2 linked regions of the Nothobranchius furzeri genome follow. The protein of the gene in region 1 binds, or shares a complex with, the protein of each later gene. Links are inferred from orthologs where the notes say so. Each region holds a gene or a part of one and is shown on either strand. Other genes may lie near its edges. The genes, in order: adat3 and adat2.

Evidence for each region.
Region 2: the proteins of adat3 (region 1) and adat2 are in contact, whole or in part, in a crystal structure (PDB 9HMM), measured with the Mus musculus proteins. The link is inferred for Nothobranchius furzeri from reciprocal best matches to the Homo sapiens genes ADAT3 and ADAT2. Residues at the interface, in NP_001094076.1 of Mus musculus: Val217, Ala218, Pro220, Leu221, His223, Ile229, Asp230, Ala233, Gln236, Gly237, Glu270, Ser272, Pro274, Val276, Val290, Met291, Met294, Ala295, His298, Ala299, Pro311, Asp312, Leu318, Phe319, Val321, Arg324, Asp326, Leu327, Asn328, Pro349; in NP_080024.3 of Mus musculus: Val62, Asn63, Lys66, Asn67, Ala68, Thr69, His71, Met74, Ile77, Leu81, His85, Pro91, Cys107, Ile108, Met109, Ala112, Ala113, Leu116, Met117, Arg130, Phe131, Val137, Leu138, Ile140, Asp144, Leu145, Pro146, Asn147, Thr148.

Annotation. Positions count from the first base shown.
Region 1 is NC_091747.1:23,889,287-23,897,776, reverse strand, and holds adat3 (probable inactive tRNA-specific adenosine deaminase-like protein 3), read left to right. Parts: upstream 1-4,167; 5' UTR 4,168-4,304; exon of another isoform or gene 4,305-4,381; intron 4,382-4,534; exon of another isoform or gene 4,535-4,673; intron 4,674-5,005; exon of another isoform or gene 5,006-5,011; coding exon of another isoform or gene 5,012-5,716; exon of another isoform or gene 5,717-5,909; intron 5,910-6,517; 5' UTR 6,518-6,532; coding exon 6,533-7,537; 3' UTR 7,538-7,698; downstream 7,699-8,490. Other genes in the region: osgepl1 (tRNA N6-adenosine threonylcarbamoyltransferase, mitochondrial), read right to left, coding at 1,669-1,759, 1,831-1,902, 1,977-2,107, 2,598-2,746, 2,821-3,025, 3,100-3,487, 3,958-4,145; alkbh6 (alpha-ketoglutarate-dependent dioxygenase alkB homolog 6), read left to right, coding at 5,012-5,716.
Region 2 is NC_091742.1:15,093,128-15,100,899, forward strand, and holds adat2 (tRNA-specific adenosine deaminase 2), read left to right. Parts: upstream 1-4,326; 5' UTR 4,327-4,463; coding exon 4,464-4,559; intron 4,560-4,773; coding exon 4,774-4,878; intron 4,879-5,013; coding exon 5,014-5,164; intron 5,165-5,229; coding exon 5,230-5,336; intron 5,337-5,398; coding exon 5,399-5,471; intron 5,472-5,647; coding exon 5,648-5,676; 3' UTR 5,677-5,803; downstream 5,804-7,772. Other genes in the region: pex3 (peroxisomal biogenesis factor 3), read right to left, coding at 1-5, 142-264, 336-406, 480-618, 930-984, 1,069-1,135, 1,230-1,351, 1,439-1,482 and 3 more. UniProt on the Homo sapiens protein: Probably participates in deamination of adenosine-34 to inosine in many tRNAs.

The sequences.
Region 1 (8,490 bases):
AGACAGCAGGTGACGAGCCCCTGCGCGTCGGGAGGCCGAGGCGACGTGCTGTGCCAGAGCGTCGGTACTGACACCCGCCGTAAAACGGACATTTAACCAACTTGTTAGCTTTTCCCTCTTGCAGTTTAACCTTCCCCTCACCCCCATCCTAACCTTAACCAGCTTGTGCCTGCAAAGCTCTGATTGTTGACGCGCTCCAGACATCTGCGTCCTGAGCACGACCACAGTAACATTATCAAATCAGGTGTCGCCACCTCAAAAACTAATTTAACACGCGATCGTGCATGTCAGCTCATTTCCTTTTATGTTTTCTGTCTTTTATTTGTGCCTGATGCGTTTCGCTGCTGTGGATCGGGGCGCATCACCTGTTTTGTCCTCCGGTGACGCACCTCACCGGTGCAGCCGGCACGCTCTCCGCTGTTTTTGCGGTCGGTAGATCTTTTAGAACTGCAGTTCAAAGGTAACTCATAAGGTGAATATATATGAACCCAGGTAGCAGTTTTTCTTTAGGACTGAGAGGAGATGCAGGAAGATAATAAACAGACAGGACAGAAAAATATTCAAATAAAATCAAGTTCGTTTTTGTACCTGGTGGTTGCAACAAACAGACAGAACTTCCTTTTGCAAAACTATTGACTACACGTGTCTGCAGCACGATTAGACACACATTTATATAGTTTATCAGGGGGAAAAATGTTGATTTGGAGGTGACTTGCTCTTTAATGTTAGCATCGGTCTTTGGCACAAATGAAGATTCTTGTTAGAACGGATGTGCTTCAGATTTGTTTTGCAGAACAAAGATTAAATCATGAGACCCAGAATGTGGGGATGATGAGCAGAACTATAAACTGTTAGAAGTTGGGTTAAATCAAATCAAACGTCTTTTCCAGGTTACCCTGAATGTTTTTACCCTCTGCTCTGTGTGACTCCAGACTAACAGTGAAAGAACAGTTATAGGAAGTAGAAACATCCCTGTGGAAAATTTTTACCTGTTGACAGGTGAAGGGTCAGGATTAGACCCAGAATTAGTATCTATCAAAACGGTTTAGTTCTTCAGGGCAAAACTCACACACTTCTGCCAAATTACCTTCAGAGTTGTAAGGGAAATTAGAGCTGAAAGTCTACAGAGCATAATAATAGTTTTAGGAAATGAGCTTCTGAAAGCACAGTCACTGGGATGGAGCTGGAATTCGGCGAGAAAGGGCAAATTCTTAGGAAAAAAATTATTTTTCTAAATTTACCCTAAAAAAACAACCTTTTTTGTTTTGAAGAGTTTATCGTGTCATAATCCAAACACTGAGGAATCAGTTTGTGAAGATGGTGTTTTTCAGGTGTTTGTTTATATTTACTGAAAAACGGAAAATTAAATTTTTGGGAAAACTTTTGTCATACATCCACTGACTCACCAACAGAGGGCAGCCCTTTAAAACAAACTCCTCTCAGAAACCGGTTCTTGATGGTAACTATTCTCCTGGAACTAATTTTATCTTCAGTTACTTTTATTTATTGTTATACGTCATTAACAGCTGTTTTTGAACAAATGTTAGGATCTGACATCAGATCAGTTTAGATAACCATAAAAAATAAAACACTCTCTAAAATCTGTTCAAAAATACATTTATTAATAAATATCAGTACAATGGGTTATTTACTAATTATTTTGTGTTTCTAAATGTTATTTTGGATCTTCATCCTGACTCGTGGGAGTCTGATGGCAGCTGCCCTCACCTCTGCTGAGATGTCAACACCCAGAGGTGCCCTGAATAAAAAAACATGCATAAAGCTGATTTAATCTGCAGAATAAAACCGTCTCTCTCAGTATTCACTCACTTTGGCTCATAGCGGACGTCCTGGTTTGGCAGCAGAATCCCTCTCCCTTCCCTCAGACGCTCAACACCATTCCTGTTCAGGACAAAGTTAAATGAGTGTCTTGGATAATTCTGGATGAAATCAATCTGATGAGACTGTTCACACACCATGCAACCATCACACCGTTATCAGTGCACAGTTTACCAGGAGGACAGAGCAGACTGAGTCCGGTCCACTCGGTGATGATCGCCAGAACCTTTCGGATGTACCGGTTACTGGCAACTCCTCCAGACACCACCTGGAAAGGCTCTATCAGTCAAATCTACACGTGGGATCACGAATATCTGAGAAAATTAAAGTAAAAGGATGAGGTTCTAAAGTTTTATTTTAAATCCTTCATGACTGTATTTAACCCAGATGTTTTATTTCTGTAATAAGGTCTCAAAAGGGAGAATTTCGAGCAGATTGTGTATTTTATTCAAAAAGGCAAAAGAAACCTCGATTTGTCTCAATAGAAGAGCTTCTGAGAACAACTGCTCAGAGGATCTCCCAATGATAAAATCACCAAACTGATCAAACCTCAAGAAAGAACGAAGGCATCTAGAGGTGACACCAGAACATCTTGAGGAGTTGGAGAAGGGACCAGAAATCTGGTCTATTTGTGCAGGTCAAATACAAATATTACAAAGTGATGTGACTTTACTGAAACTCTTTTTCCACGAGTTTGTTGCAGATTGAAAAGCAGGATTTGATGGATGATTAATTCCAGGATTAGAAGAAGCACTCACCAGAGTGGGATTATCTGCTGGCAGCAGGCTGTTAGCCTTACAGAACAGGATGGCGCGATGTGTACGCTCTGCAAGATGCGAGGCGACGGTGTGCTGAGCGGCTGCTGCTAGATCGTTGACACACGACAGCAACGTTCCTTCTCCTACACCTACGAAGAGGAACTCACAGTCACGAGTCACACTGCAAGTTAGCTACAGATGACATTCAGGAAACTTCTCAGACCTTCCTCTGCCTCCTTTTTCTTTATAGTCATCGTAATCTGGTTCCTGAGTCCAGCAAAAGAAAAGCAGCAGTCAGGAGTTTTACCCATAGGGGTCGTGAAATAAAACCTCTTCCTGTCTCCATCTTTAGCCAGAAGCTCGATAGCTTGTCCTCCACTCAGTGTGCAGCACTGTGGGTGTTTGCTGAGGGACAGACGTCTCGCCACCTGAGAATCCACAAAACGTAGATGATTTTATGAGCAGAGAATTAGGATCTGCAGCCAAAATCAATTCACCTCACTTTATCAAGCGTATCCCCCGGAGCTTCATCCAATGCATGACCCAACAGCAGGAAGTCATCAACTCCCTGAGCCACAGCGAGAAGCGAGTGGCCTCCAGAAACGAGCAGCACCAGAAAGGGGAAGAAAAGAGGGTGGAGCATCCTGACGGTCAGAGCGTGGGCCTCCATGTGGTGGATAGGGATGAAGAGTCTGTTATGCTGTCTCACAAACCTTAGACTGAACTCCAGACCAACGCTCAGGCTCAGGGCCAAGCCCGGCTTTACGGTGGTGGCCACGGCAGAAAGCTGGCTCGGGGTCACGCCGCTCTTCTCCAACGTCTCCCAGACCACACGCTCTATGTTGTCTCTGTGGAGCTGCTGTGCTACTGTGGGGATGATCCCACCCGTCCTGCGGTGTATGAGAGGAAAACAAATAGACACATATGAAACAAAGTGACAGTGTGTTTTAAACTATAACCTAGTTAGTCATCGTTAGGTCTGCAAGGTGACTGGTAACAGGCAAAAGCACTGTGAAGATATGCAAATGTGAAAACCTGGGTCCAGCCGCCGATCCAGCAGAACCTCCATCACAATGAGGACGGTTGGGATCAGCTGTTTGTGCTGCTGTGCATTATGGGTAAACATCTCCCCTTGGTCTCCCAGGAAAGCTTTGATCTGGTGAAACTTGATGGACCTGAGCTGACCTTCTGAGAGGATGATTTCTCCTCCTGACACTCTTCTTAAGTAGCCATTCTTGTCATGACCTTTAACATTTCACCCGTTTCCAAACACGTTTTTACATTACACTTGAGGACTTTTTCATGTCCTGACAAAAACCCTAGAACTGAAGGAACCGTAGCTCTGCACTCTGAAACCTACCTCAGATGTTCTTCTTTCTGTGAATGCAGACACTCGCCCAGTATAGAACCGGTTTCGTCTAACACAGCAGCTCCTGTTTCGTCGCAGCTTGTCTCAATACCTAAAACAAGTCTGGAGCAGAATGGCCTTCCAGACGTGTGTTTACACCGTATAAACCTCTGCAGAAAGTCTACCTTTGTTCGGAACATTGTCTTTTTTTTGTTCCACCCGTGAGTTAGAATAATCTAGTAACACACGATGACCTAACTTTATTATTAAATAAACTAAAAAACACAAAACGTCGACCTCATGATGGGAAGCGTAGACCACAGCGTTTAGTTACCCGGACACTTTTCGAAGTTACACAGGTGAGTAGTTATGGCGGACAGTTCTCAGGCTGCTTGACTAAACGCTTTTTTATTCATAATTTCCGTAATCTACTGAGGTAAATATAACTTTAACGTTTGCTTACAACTGTAATAAATTAATGCCAAGTGTATATTAATGGCTGTACTGTATCAGCGGTGTTATAAGTTAAAATGTTTAGGAATTTTCCGCTTCCGGTTTGTAAACGGTGTTACTTTCATTTGTGTTGTACTTCTAAATGTGCCACGGTCCTTTCATCGAGACTTATTTTGAGTTATGTTTTTACTAAATTAACCAAAACATTCAGTCCTTCGTACAAATTTGTGCACAACTGACGGTCTGCTCCAGCGCAGTAACAAGACATTAACCTGGTAGGTGTTTTAGTATTTATGTAACAGACAGTAATGCCCCAGGTGCAGCAGCCAGACTTTTGGTTTTGTGCTTTAAGATAATTAACATAATAAACCAACTTCAGTACATATCTCATTTCAGAGTGGATAATTAAGTTTAAATTTGTACTAGAAAACACCAGTGGCTGCAAGAGGTAGTTATAACTCATTTAGGATATGACATCACTTGTTCATGGTGTATTTTTCTTCTGTTTGATTACTAATTTTAATTTAGGTAGGGTTTATATTTAAAAATACTTCCAGTTCATTGTGTGCATGAATTCTAATAAGAATTTCATGTTACCTTTTCCAAGGGAAACATGGATCATCCAACTTGTATTTTGGAACAATTGAAGCAGCTTGTTGTAAAAACTGCTCCTCAAACAGTGTTTTACATCCCAGATTTTATATCCGAAGAGGAGGAATCCTACCTTCTGCAACAGGTCTATAAGTCTCCCAAAACTAAATGGACTTATTTGTCAGGTAGAAGGCTCCAGAACTGGGGAGGGTCACCCCATCCCAGAGGCATGCTGGCAGAGACGATTCCTGACTGGCTCCAGACTTACTGTGAGAAAATATCTTCTCTTGGCGCGTTCAGTGGGAAAACCGCCAACCATGTGTTGGTGAACGAGTATAAACAAGGTGAAGGGATTATGCCTCATGAAGATGGTCCACTGTATCACCCCACTGTCACTACTGTCAGCCTGGGATCCCACACCCTGCTGGACTTCTACAGACCCGTCAGCAGCCTGGAGGACGAAGCACCGCAGACCGAGGAGAACCGATTCCTGTTCTCCCTGCTGCTACAGCCACGCAGTCTTCTGATCCTGCAGGATGAGATGTACCAGCATCTCCTTCATGGCATTCAGAGCTGTTCCCAGGACAACCTAACAGACCAGGTGCTAAACCTGTCTGCTGCTGGAGCCCAGCTCGGAGAGACGCTGACCCGAGGAACCAGGGTGTCCCTCACCATCAGACACGTGCCCAAAGTTATAAAAACAAAACTAATGTTGGGAAGGAAATGATGGAATCGCTTCAGCACAGTCACCACGAGTTGATTAAATATATTAAAAAAATTAATTTAATTAAGACTTGATAACCTCTTGAAGCTTCATATTGTACTAAAGTTGATTTATTTTTAAGGAAAGCATGTACATAAATATGACCTAGCTTTAAAAGGGAATGTCTTCAGCATTGTCCTAGAGAGTTCCAGTATGGGTTTGGTTTAAATGTACTGCAACATTTGTAACGATTTAACAAATCTTGATATGATAACAGATGTAACTGATTAATGAGAATATTGTATTTAAATGTTCTGGAGTTTTATTCTGAAAGGGAAGCAGCTGTTTGTTTTCAAATCCATCTTTCTGTGATTCTCATGCAAAATGAATATTAAAACTGGTTTGCTCATTTCTTACTTTATAGGTTCAATAAAAACAGTTAAACATATATTTGAAAAATGCGTGCCAAAGATGATGTTGTTATACTAAACGTTCAGATCTAAGATTTAAACACTGAAATTTAATATAAATGCTGAAACTGATGTTTCCTAACCCGACAGCCTTTAGTGGTAATACCTCAGCAATTGTCTCCCTTCTCATCAGTCTGTCTCTGGGTTCAGTAGGAATTCTGTCCCACTTCTTATCTCATTCTGATTTGCAGTGACTGGTAACAGCTGAACCATAAACCACTCAGATTTTGTTAGCTTCACTAACTCTGAAAGATGGTCTCTTTGTGTCTGAATGCTGCTTCATTGTGCTGATCTCTGTCCAGTGTGGCTGAAATCCTTTCTCATCGTGTCCTCTGTCCTGCTGATGTGCTGACAGGAGGACATCAAAACAATGGAGCCACAGACGAAACGCTGGAAGGGGTCAGCGTGTGATGCAGACTCCTGGGTCCCCTATCCTGTCCTGTCAGATGAGCAGTCACAAGACGTGGAGCTGGTAGACGCGTTCGCTGCCCCCATCACCAACAAGAAAGCAACGTCTCGGCTTGTCAGGGAGCTGAACGCCCTCTATCCACTCAGTGGCCTTCAGCATATCAAGAGGGTACGAGCTTGTAAGGACGAGAATGGGCCCCACCCGTTGCAAGTGCTGCTGTGCCTCGTCAGCGATGCTCCAGACATGAAGGTGGTCAGCATCGACTCTCTTTTACCTTCGGATGGAGCTAAATGGGAAGGACTAGGGGAGCCCTTTGTGGTGCAGATTCCTGCTTGGCCTCCGTTGACCCGACCTCAGTTTGAGCTGGCGAGCCGGCGCTGGCCCACGTCCTTTCATGAAGACAAACAGGTGACAGTTGCACTCAAAGGAGAACTCTTCGGCCCCCAACAGAAAGCCATGATGCACTTGTACATGATGGCTGCTCTGACCGCTGCTAAAGCTGCCAAGGATCTGGGGATGGAGGCGGTTGGAGCAGTAGTTGTTGACCCCGAGAAGGAGCAGATCATAGCAGTCGGCCATGACTGCAGGGGCAACCACCCTCTGCATCATGCAGTCATGGTGTGTATCGACCTTGTAGCTCAGAGCCAGGGCAGTGGATGTTATCGTTTTGACAGTTTTACAGCCTGCAGCTTTACTTCACCAAAAATAAATGCGTCCAATCCCGAGGTGGGCCCTCGGCCGTACATATGCACTGGGTATGACCTGTATGTGACCAGAGAACCTTGTGTTATGTGCGCCATGGCTCTGGTACATTCCAGGATCGGTCGGGTTTTCTATGGCACCGCCTCTGCAGACGGAGCATTAGGGACCAAGTTTAAAATCCATTCTCGGAAAGACCTGAACCATCGTTTTGAAGTTTTCAGGGGAGTTCTGAGTGACCAGTGTGAGCACCTGAACAGGATGTGACCTCGTTATGGTTTAAAGTGAATTACGTCAAAACATTTTATTACCAAGACCTCACAGAGAATAAAAAACAAGATTTACTATGTAGAAATGTTTCTGATCCTGATTTTTGGTTTGACTGTTTGCAGATTAAGAAATGAGGTCACACCGTTTCATGATTTAGGTATATCCATGTGGAAATGTTTAAATTAAAAAGCAGTAGCCATTTCTGTTTCATCAGGTGAATAAAACCAACTTTTCCAACCAAATTCTCTCGGAGGGTGAACATGTTCTATAATAAATAATTTACATGAGGATATTTAAACCGTTTATTTTGTAAGCCTTTGACTTTTAAAAGACCACGAAATCATCTTGTGATAACCTGAAGGAACGTAAAACTCAACCAGCTTGTTTTAGGCTTTACCAAAATACTAATCCATCATGAAGAAGAGTAATTACATCTTTGCTAAACATGTAATATTTTGTTCCTTTTCCAACATTTTTAATGAGTTTTCTGGTTAATTTTTATTATTGTAACAATAAATCTGATCAGAGAACAAAAAGAACAAATCCCAGAAGGACTTAAGCAGAAAGAGACGGAGCGTCTAGCAGACAGACACGTTTTATTAAAGATTAGGAGCAAGAAATATCCCCTTCAGCTATGGCCAAACAAAGCAGAACTCGCTGCTTCGACTATAGCTAAAGTCCAACCTACAGGGAGCAGCTGCATGTTTGTAGTGGTTCCCACACCGACTGTAAACCTCTCACTAAACAATGGACACACATCAAAAAAGCAGGACAATGAAACAAGATGACCATTTTGTTTAACGTAATGAAATCATGCAAATAATGGGTTTTTTAGGGTAACGCCCATGACAACATTGAAGTGAGCCATAGAGTTCCACCAACAGATAATTAACACCTTTGAAAATACTTCATAGCATCCTTGTGGCTACAATACTCATAAAATCTGTCAC
Region 2 (7,772 bases), on another chromosome or scaffold:
CCAGACTGGTGGCACATGGAGGAGGGGGTTACTATGGTAACAAGGATATGACCCCGCCCATTTTCATAGAGTTGTCATTTTAAATTCATATTTCTGGTTTGAAAGGGTAAAGTCACAAATCTAGCTCACAACGTTCCTCACCTGTCAGGTGCAGAGTTGGGGGCGGAGTCACCAGGAGGCGGGCGGAAGAACTCAGCCAGGTTGTCAAGGAGAAGAGAGAAAGCTCGGTTCAGACAAATGTTCAGAATGGTGCCGAAGTCCGGACTGAAGTCACAAAACAGGAAGTTAGATCGTTTTTAAACACACAAACAGAAACAACCAGGTGCGGCGCTCACCTGTCCAACATGTCTCTGGTCTCGTTCAACAGTCTGATGGTCATGACGTCGTTCTCGGTTAATCCACACGCCTGAACGGGCGGCACAAACATCACGGTTATTATTCATCAGTGAGCGCCGCCGTGGTCGGGCCTCGCCGCTCACCTGCTCAGCCAGGGCGTTCTCGTCGTCCGCCAGCAGGAAGCGGGACATCGGGCGCTCCGAGTCGGACTCCACCTCGGCTCTGATCCAGCTCAGCTGCTGCTCCAGCTCCAGCAGGGACAAACTCTGCTTCAGAGACACGCTGGACACCAACGGGAGACTCGTCAACTGCTGTTCTACTACGGAGGGCCAGAAGGGCCAAAATCAACAAATAACTCAAATCTGACACGAATGAGACTAAAATATAAAAACATATTTTAAAAACTTTAAGGTTTTGTTTTATGATTCAATAAATAAGACTTTTTAAGTTTAAGACATGTTAAATAAATACTGAATTCTTTATTTTTTATTGTATTGTGGCACTTTTGGCTCTCCGTACACCACAATCATGCGATCACACAAATAAAAATGTGTGACTTTCGGACGTTTTGCAGACAGAAACCTAAAACTCACCTTCCCAGCGAGCGCTGCACGGCCCTCTTCACCACTGTTATTAACTCGTTTAACCCTGGGGAGACGCGCGGAGACGTTACACAACCCACACACACGCTAGGGTCTGAAGTCAATCTGCAGGAGGAGATCTGTCCCCTACCGTCTCCGAGGAGATGCTGGATGCTGGACAAGTACTGCTGCTGGACGTCTGCAGGAGCCAGAGGATTCTGGGTAATAAAAAGCAAACATCAGATCCTCGTTTCTTTCCATTTCCCTGCCGAGCTTCCACACCTGCAGCGCGTGGTGCAGCTCCATCCTCACCGTTATGCTCTTCCCTACAGAGTTATCCAGGTACAGGTAACCTCCGATGATGTTGAGCTGCACTCGAAGGAGAACCACCAGCATGCAAGTGCTGTAGACGGCCACGATGGTGCGGGTGAAGCCTGAAGACCACAAACAACAGATCCTGAGTCTCAGGAGGCCAGAAAAAAAATACTTTAATCAAATGTTCTGCCGAGTTTAAAACTTACTGATGATTTTTAAATCTTCCCAGATCTCCAGTTTATTAGCTGGTCTGGAGGAAAAAGATTTAAACATCTTTATTTAAACACCTAAAACAAGCAAATGTGTATTTTGTGTTAGATAACAGAATAAAGTCTGATGATGGGAACGCTAATGTGTCGTCTGACTTGGTCTTCAGCAGCGCGGTGAGCGTCTCGGAGTTCAGCTGAGCGACGACGGCCTCTCTGAGCGGCGGGAGCATCGACAGAACTGAAACACAGAAACGGTGAGCCTCGCTCCTCAGCTCAGGCCGACCCTAGCCCTTACCCTAACCCTACCGGTCATGTTGCAGGTTCGCTGGTTGCTCTCGAAGTGGAACTGCCGTCTGGCCTGGGCGATGTACTCCGTCGCCTCCTTCTCTTGGATGTCTCTGATCTTCTTTTGGGCATATCTTCCAAAAATGTAAACTCCTGAGAAGGAACCAAATAGGAGGTGAACACAAAAACATGGAGGGCCAGCTGCAGCACCGTGGGGGGATCCGTTATATTCTGATATTTTTTAAACTAAATAGCAAAAGAAGCCATCTGTTATTATTCAGCTTTGAAAGAAAAATACTAAACAGATTTTAACAGGAACCAAACCCGAACCTGGTTCCATAGGAGTTCAGAGAACTGCAGCAGAGAAGAGCTCAGCTGCTCCGGAGCATACAGGTGTGTGTTAATGCTGCAGGTCAGGAAACACTGAACAAGTGTGGCCGGCTTAGAAAGGCTGCAGGAGAAATCCTGAACAAGACTTCTAGAGCAATAGCCTTTGGACCAAAGTGGTGTTTACCCATAATGCACAGCAGAGCCCTCTGATATGGGCTGTATGACCGGTGTCAGAGCTTGGTCAGCATTGCCGGCAGTAAGTCGGGCTCGTTCCCAGGGAGAGTTGGACTCTGCCAAGGCTGCCCTTTGTCACCGATTCTGTTCATAACCTTCATGGACAGGATTTATGGGCGCAGCCAAGGTGTTGAGGATATCCATTATGGTGGCCTGAGGATCAGGTCTCTGCTTTTTGCAGATGATGTGGTCCTGTTGGCTTCATCAGAACGTGATCTTCAGTTTTCGCTGGAGCGGTTTGCAGCTGAGTGTGACGCAGCTGGGATGAGAATCAGCTCCTCTAAATCTGAGACCATGAGAAAATGGTAGAATGCCCTCTCCAGGTCAGGGATGAGGTCCTGCCCCAAGTGGAGGAGTTTGAGTATCTCGGGGTCTTGTTCACAAGTGAGGGAAAACTGGAGCGTGAATAGGCGGATTGGTGCTGCATCTGCAGTGATGCGGCCATTGCACCAGTCTGTCGTGGTGAAGAGAGAGTTGAGTCGGAAGGCGAAGCTCTCTATTTACCGGTCGATCTACGTTCCTACCTTCACCTATGGTCATGAGCTTTGGGTAGTGACAGAAAGAACGAGATCACGGATACAAGCGGCCGAAATGAGTTTTATCCGAAGAGCGGCTGGGCTCTCCCTTAGAGATAGGGTGAGAAGCTCAGTCATTCGGGAGGGGCTCGGAGTAGACCCGCTGCTCCTCCACATCGAGAGGAGCCAGTTGAGGTGGCTCGGGCATCTGGACAGGATGCCTCCTGGACGCCTCCCTGGTGAGGTTTTCCGGGCACGTCCAACCGGGAGGAGGCCTAAAGGTAGACCCAGGACACGGTGGAGGGACTATGTCTCTCACCTGGCCAGGGAACGCCTTGGGATTCCCCCAGAGGAGCTGGCCCAAGTGGCTGGGGAGAGGGAAGTCTGGGCCTCTAGCCTTAGGCTACTGCCCCCGCGACCTGACTCCCGGATAAGCAGATGAAAATGGATGGATGGATGGATGGCACAGCAGAACGTTAGGAGAAACCCAAACCGCTCCCGCTAGCTGTGGACAAGGTGGTGGAGGGGTGATGGTTTGGGCTCCCAGCAAAAATGAGACCATGAAAACCAGACTGGGTAATAAATCTGGACACGGATCCCAAACGCAGCTAGAATCATGTGGCAATGATCAAAGTCCAGACCTCCACCCCCACCGAAAGCTTGTGATGAGACGTTGGGGAGCAAATGGTGCAAATCCCACAACTCATAAGTGGGCCAGAATTCCTCCAGAACCGCGCAAGGCTCACATGATCCTCACATAAAGTTTCACTACAGTGAATCATGTTTACATCAGAGACAGGGAGAAATGTGATGTTGTGCAGCACAGAGATAAAAAATACATATCTGTAAGCATTTTTAGTTTTGACAAATATGACAAAAACATTTTATATTTGAATCGGTAAAGTATTCTAAAGCCGAAAAAAAGATCATCTTAATGTTCCTAATCGCTCTTTAAATAACTTTTAAAATACACATGGTTCATTTTATCACCAAAACTAGTTTTTAAAGGGTTTATTCGTGGTGTCCGGCGTGTGTGGGGACTACCCCCTTACCTCCAACGACTGCTCCGGTGAAAATGAATTTCTTTTTATGGCGTTTTATAAAATTCCAGACAGACGAAAACATCTTCAGGAAAGTAGAACTCCAAAACCCCTCCGCACTTTTATCTCTTGGCTTCACTTTTTAATAAACATTTTAGTGGAAGAGTTTCTGACTGCAGCTCTTAGCTACCAAGCTAACTGTCACAAATTTGCTGATCAAGGGTGTAGCTGAGACATCCGGTTTAGGACTTCAAAATAAAACGCTCTGGGCAACGGAAGTGCAAATGATCATTAGATAATAGAATTGCGAATCCACGTCACATTAAAATAAAGAAACGGTTGTACTAATTAAGTGCTGTTCTATAATCAATGAGAACTATAAAATAATTGGTCCTGGCAAATCTTCCTGACATTTGTGGGAACATTCTACTTCCGGTTTTAGCGCACAATTTGTGAGAAAGGTGATTGGTCGCATCCGAAAGTGGTCCGTTTAATATTATCTTCCCCCACTGTGCTAAGCGCTTCAAATGAGTGACTAAAAGCTGAAAATACGCTCCAAAAACTGAATTTAACTAAATATCTCCAGTTTCAAAGATATTTTACATCACTCCTGACGCCATGGGATCAGAGGAGGGTGAAAATCCTGATTCTTTGGAGCGGTTTTGTCCGACTGATGAGGAAATAGAGAAATGGATGTGCAGCGCTTTTGAAATGGTAATGTCTTCATTCAAATGTAGCGAAGAAACATTTAATTTTTTTAAATAAGTTTTTATGATAAATGATTTTGTAATCATAAGTTGGTATCAACCAAATGAAAACGAACAGGAATTGTTTTGTTTGATTGGCTGAAACGTGTGTTAGATATTTCTGGTTCAGGAGTATAAGGCGCCTGGTGGTGGTGAGCTGAATGTTGAATGTGTTTCTGCAGGCCAGAGATGCTCTGGAGAACGGAGAAGTTCCTGTAGGATGTCTGATGGTTTACAAGGATGAAGTGGTGGGGAGAGGGAGGAATGAAGTCAACGAGACTAAAAATGTAGGAAAAATCTAAACAACCTTTAAAGAGCCTTACAGCAGGATCAGTCAGGACATAAGATCCTGGTGGTCTCCAGGAGCTAAAACTGTGTTGGCTTCATCATGAGACCAGTTCAAAATTTCTGATGGTTTTCAGGCAACTCGTCACGCTGAGATGGTCTCCTTGGACCAGGTCTTGGACTGGTGTCGCCATAGCAACCTGGACACAAAGAGCGTGTGTGAGCAGACTGTCCTGTACGTCACAGTGGAGCCGTGCATCATGTGTGCCGCAGCCCTGCGCCTCGTCAGTATCCTCCCCCGACCTGAGAGTGTGTGTGTGTGTGTGTGTTTGTTGTCCTTAACCAGCTCCCAGATATCCCCGTGGTTGCCTACGGTTGCAGAAACGAGCGTTTTGGGGGGTGCGGATCAGTTCTGGACATTTCCTCTGCAGACCTTCCTCACACTGGGACCACATTTAAGGTGTTTATTCATTTGTGCCACGTTGACCAGCTGCTCACTGTTTTATAAACACGTGTGTTCAGTGTGTTTCAGGCCACAGAGCAGAAGAAGCCATAGAGATGCTCAAAACTTTCTATAAGCAAGAAAATCCAAATGGTAAAATGTTTGATTACTGACCAGCTAATAAACCAATGTTGATGTTACTGAAAAGTTATTTAACTCTTTCTGACAAAAATACCTTTACATCAGAAATCGTTTCAGTTCTGACAACTGATTTATTCCAATTCATTTGCTCAGAGAATTAAAATCAATTATTCTTTTGTCTGTTTCAGCCCCAAAGCCCAAACCAAGGAAGGACTGACCTGAACAAATTGTTTTAATGTGTATTTTATAGATTTTTATTGTAATAAAATCATTTTTATTTCTAGATAATGACTTTTAATGTCTTATTTCCTCATTTCTCCAGTTCCCCAGCATGGGCGCTCTTTACCAGCTGACCTGTAAAACTGAATGAAGAGGAAAACACAGAAACATGAAGCTGCAGTTAAAACTAAATGTCAAAAATCATAAAGTTTAACATTTCTGAGGATTTGGGGGGTTTATTGGTTTGTGGAATCATGGAGGCAGAAGTTTGTAGTGAAACTGCAGATGTAAAACAAACCACTGTGTGTGTGTGTGTTATCCATGGTTCTGATTGGCGACATCAGCTCCAAACGTTTCACGCTGTGATGCAAGATGTCGACCATCAGCACACAGATCGCTCCCACACATCAAGCTGTCACGATGTGTCCACATGCATGCACGCATTGTGTGTGTGTGTGTGTGTGAGAGATACTATTTTAACACCAAAAATAATTGATTTAATAGGGAAAAAGAATCAGCTAATTCTTCCTCTTTCCCTTGCAGCTGATTTCCTAAAAGCTGGAGAAAATCGTCTCCTTCACATACCTAAAGAGAAAATACATTAAAAACATTAAACCTCAATGAAATTGATTAGTTGTGACCAAAAACAAGTTTGACCCATAATTAAACAGCATTTTGCTTTCATTTGACATTTAAAAAAAAAAGAAGTTCATGTGTCCGGAAAATATTTGTGCATTCTTCATTATGATTATTGTTATTATTTTTTGTAAGAAGAAGAATATGCTAATATGAAAGTAGTTGATAAACACTGCATTTAGTAAGCTGCTGTGTTTAAAAGCAACAATAAAACATTACCGACATGATTCTCACTTTACAGACTTTCTGTTGAATATACTGATGACCCTCCCTTGTTTTTATTTAGACACAGGGCTATTTTGTTTATGTGCTGGTTTAGAAGTGGTTTAGAAAATAAAGTTGGATTGGAACGTCTGAGCGCGTGCTTCCCTCGTGTATTCGAATCCCGTAACTGCAACTTCGGAGTCGTTTACCGTTGCTAGACAACACCCAGGCAAAATCTGACTCAAACGGGTTTTATCACATATACACTGCTTGTGAAAACATGTCGGAAGATAACGTTATTGTGATAGAGAAAGTCACGGTTGAAAGAGTTGTTCTGAAGGTCCCCAAGGAGGATATCAAGAACACACACCGGGAAGGTGACCCTTTACCGTTGCTAAACACCCAGGCAAAATCTGACTCAAACGGATTTTATCACATACACTGCTTGTGAAAACATGTCGGAAGATAACGTAATCGTGATAAAGTCACGGTTGAAAGAGTGGTTCTGGAGGTCCCCCTGGAGGATAAGAACACACACCGGGAAGGTGACCCTTTACCGTTGCTAGACAACACCCAGGCAAAATCTGACTCAAACGGATTTTATCACATACACTGCTTGTGAAAACATGTCGGAAGATAACGTTTACTTAGAAGTATACTCCTTGGGACTAAATTGGGCCACTAAAGTATACTTGAAGTATACTACAAGTATACTTCAAAGTAATAATTTAAGTTTATTTGTAGTGTACTTCTGATATAATTGAGTATACATTTCTCTTTGAAAGTATACTTAAAGTAACATCACAAGTGTACTTGGAGTGTTCTTCTGAAATAATTAAGTATACTTTTGTCCTTGAAAGTATACTTAAAGTAACAATATAAGTTTACTTTTCATACAATTGAGTATACTTTTCTTCTTGAATGTACTTAAAATATACTTTAAGTAACAATATAAGTTTACTTATAGAGTACTTCAGATATAATTGAGTACTTTTCTCCTTGAAAGTATACTTTTAAGTTTACTTGTAGTGTACCTCTGATATAATTGAGTATAATTTTCTCCTTGGAAGTATTTTTAAAAGTAACAATATAAGTTTACTTGTAGTGTACTCCTGATATAGTCGAGTATACTTTTCTCATTGAAAGTATACTTAAAAGTAACAGTATAAGTTTACTTCTAATAAAATTGAGTAAACTTTTGCCCTTGAAAGTACACTTAAAAATAAACTTTAAGTAACATTATAAGTTTACTTG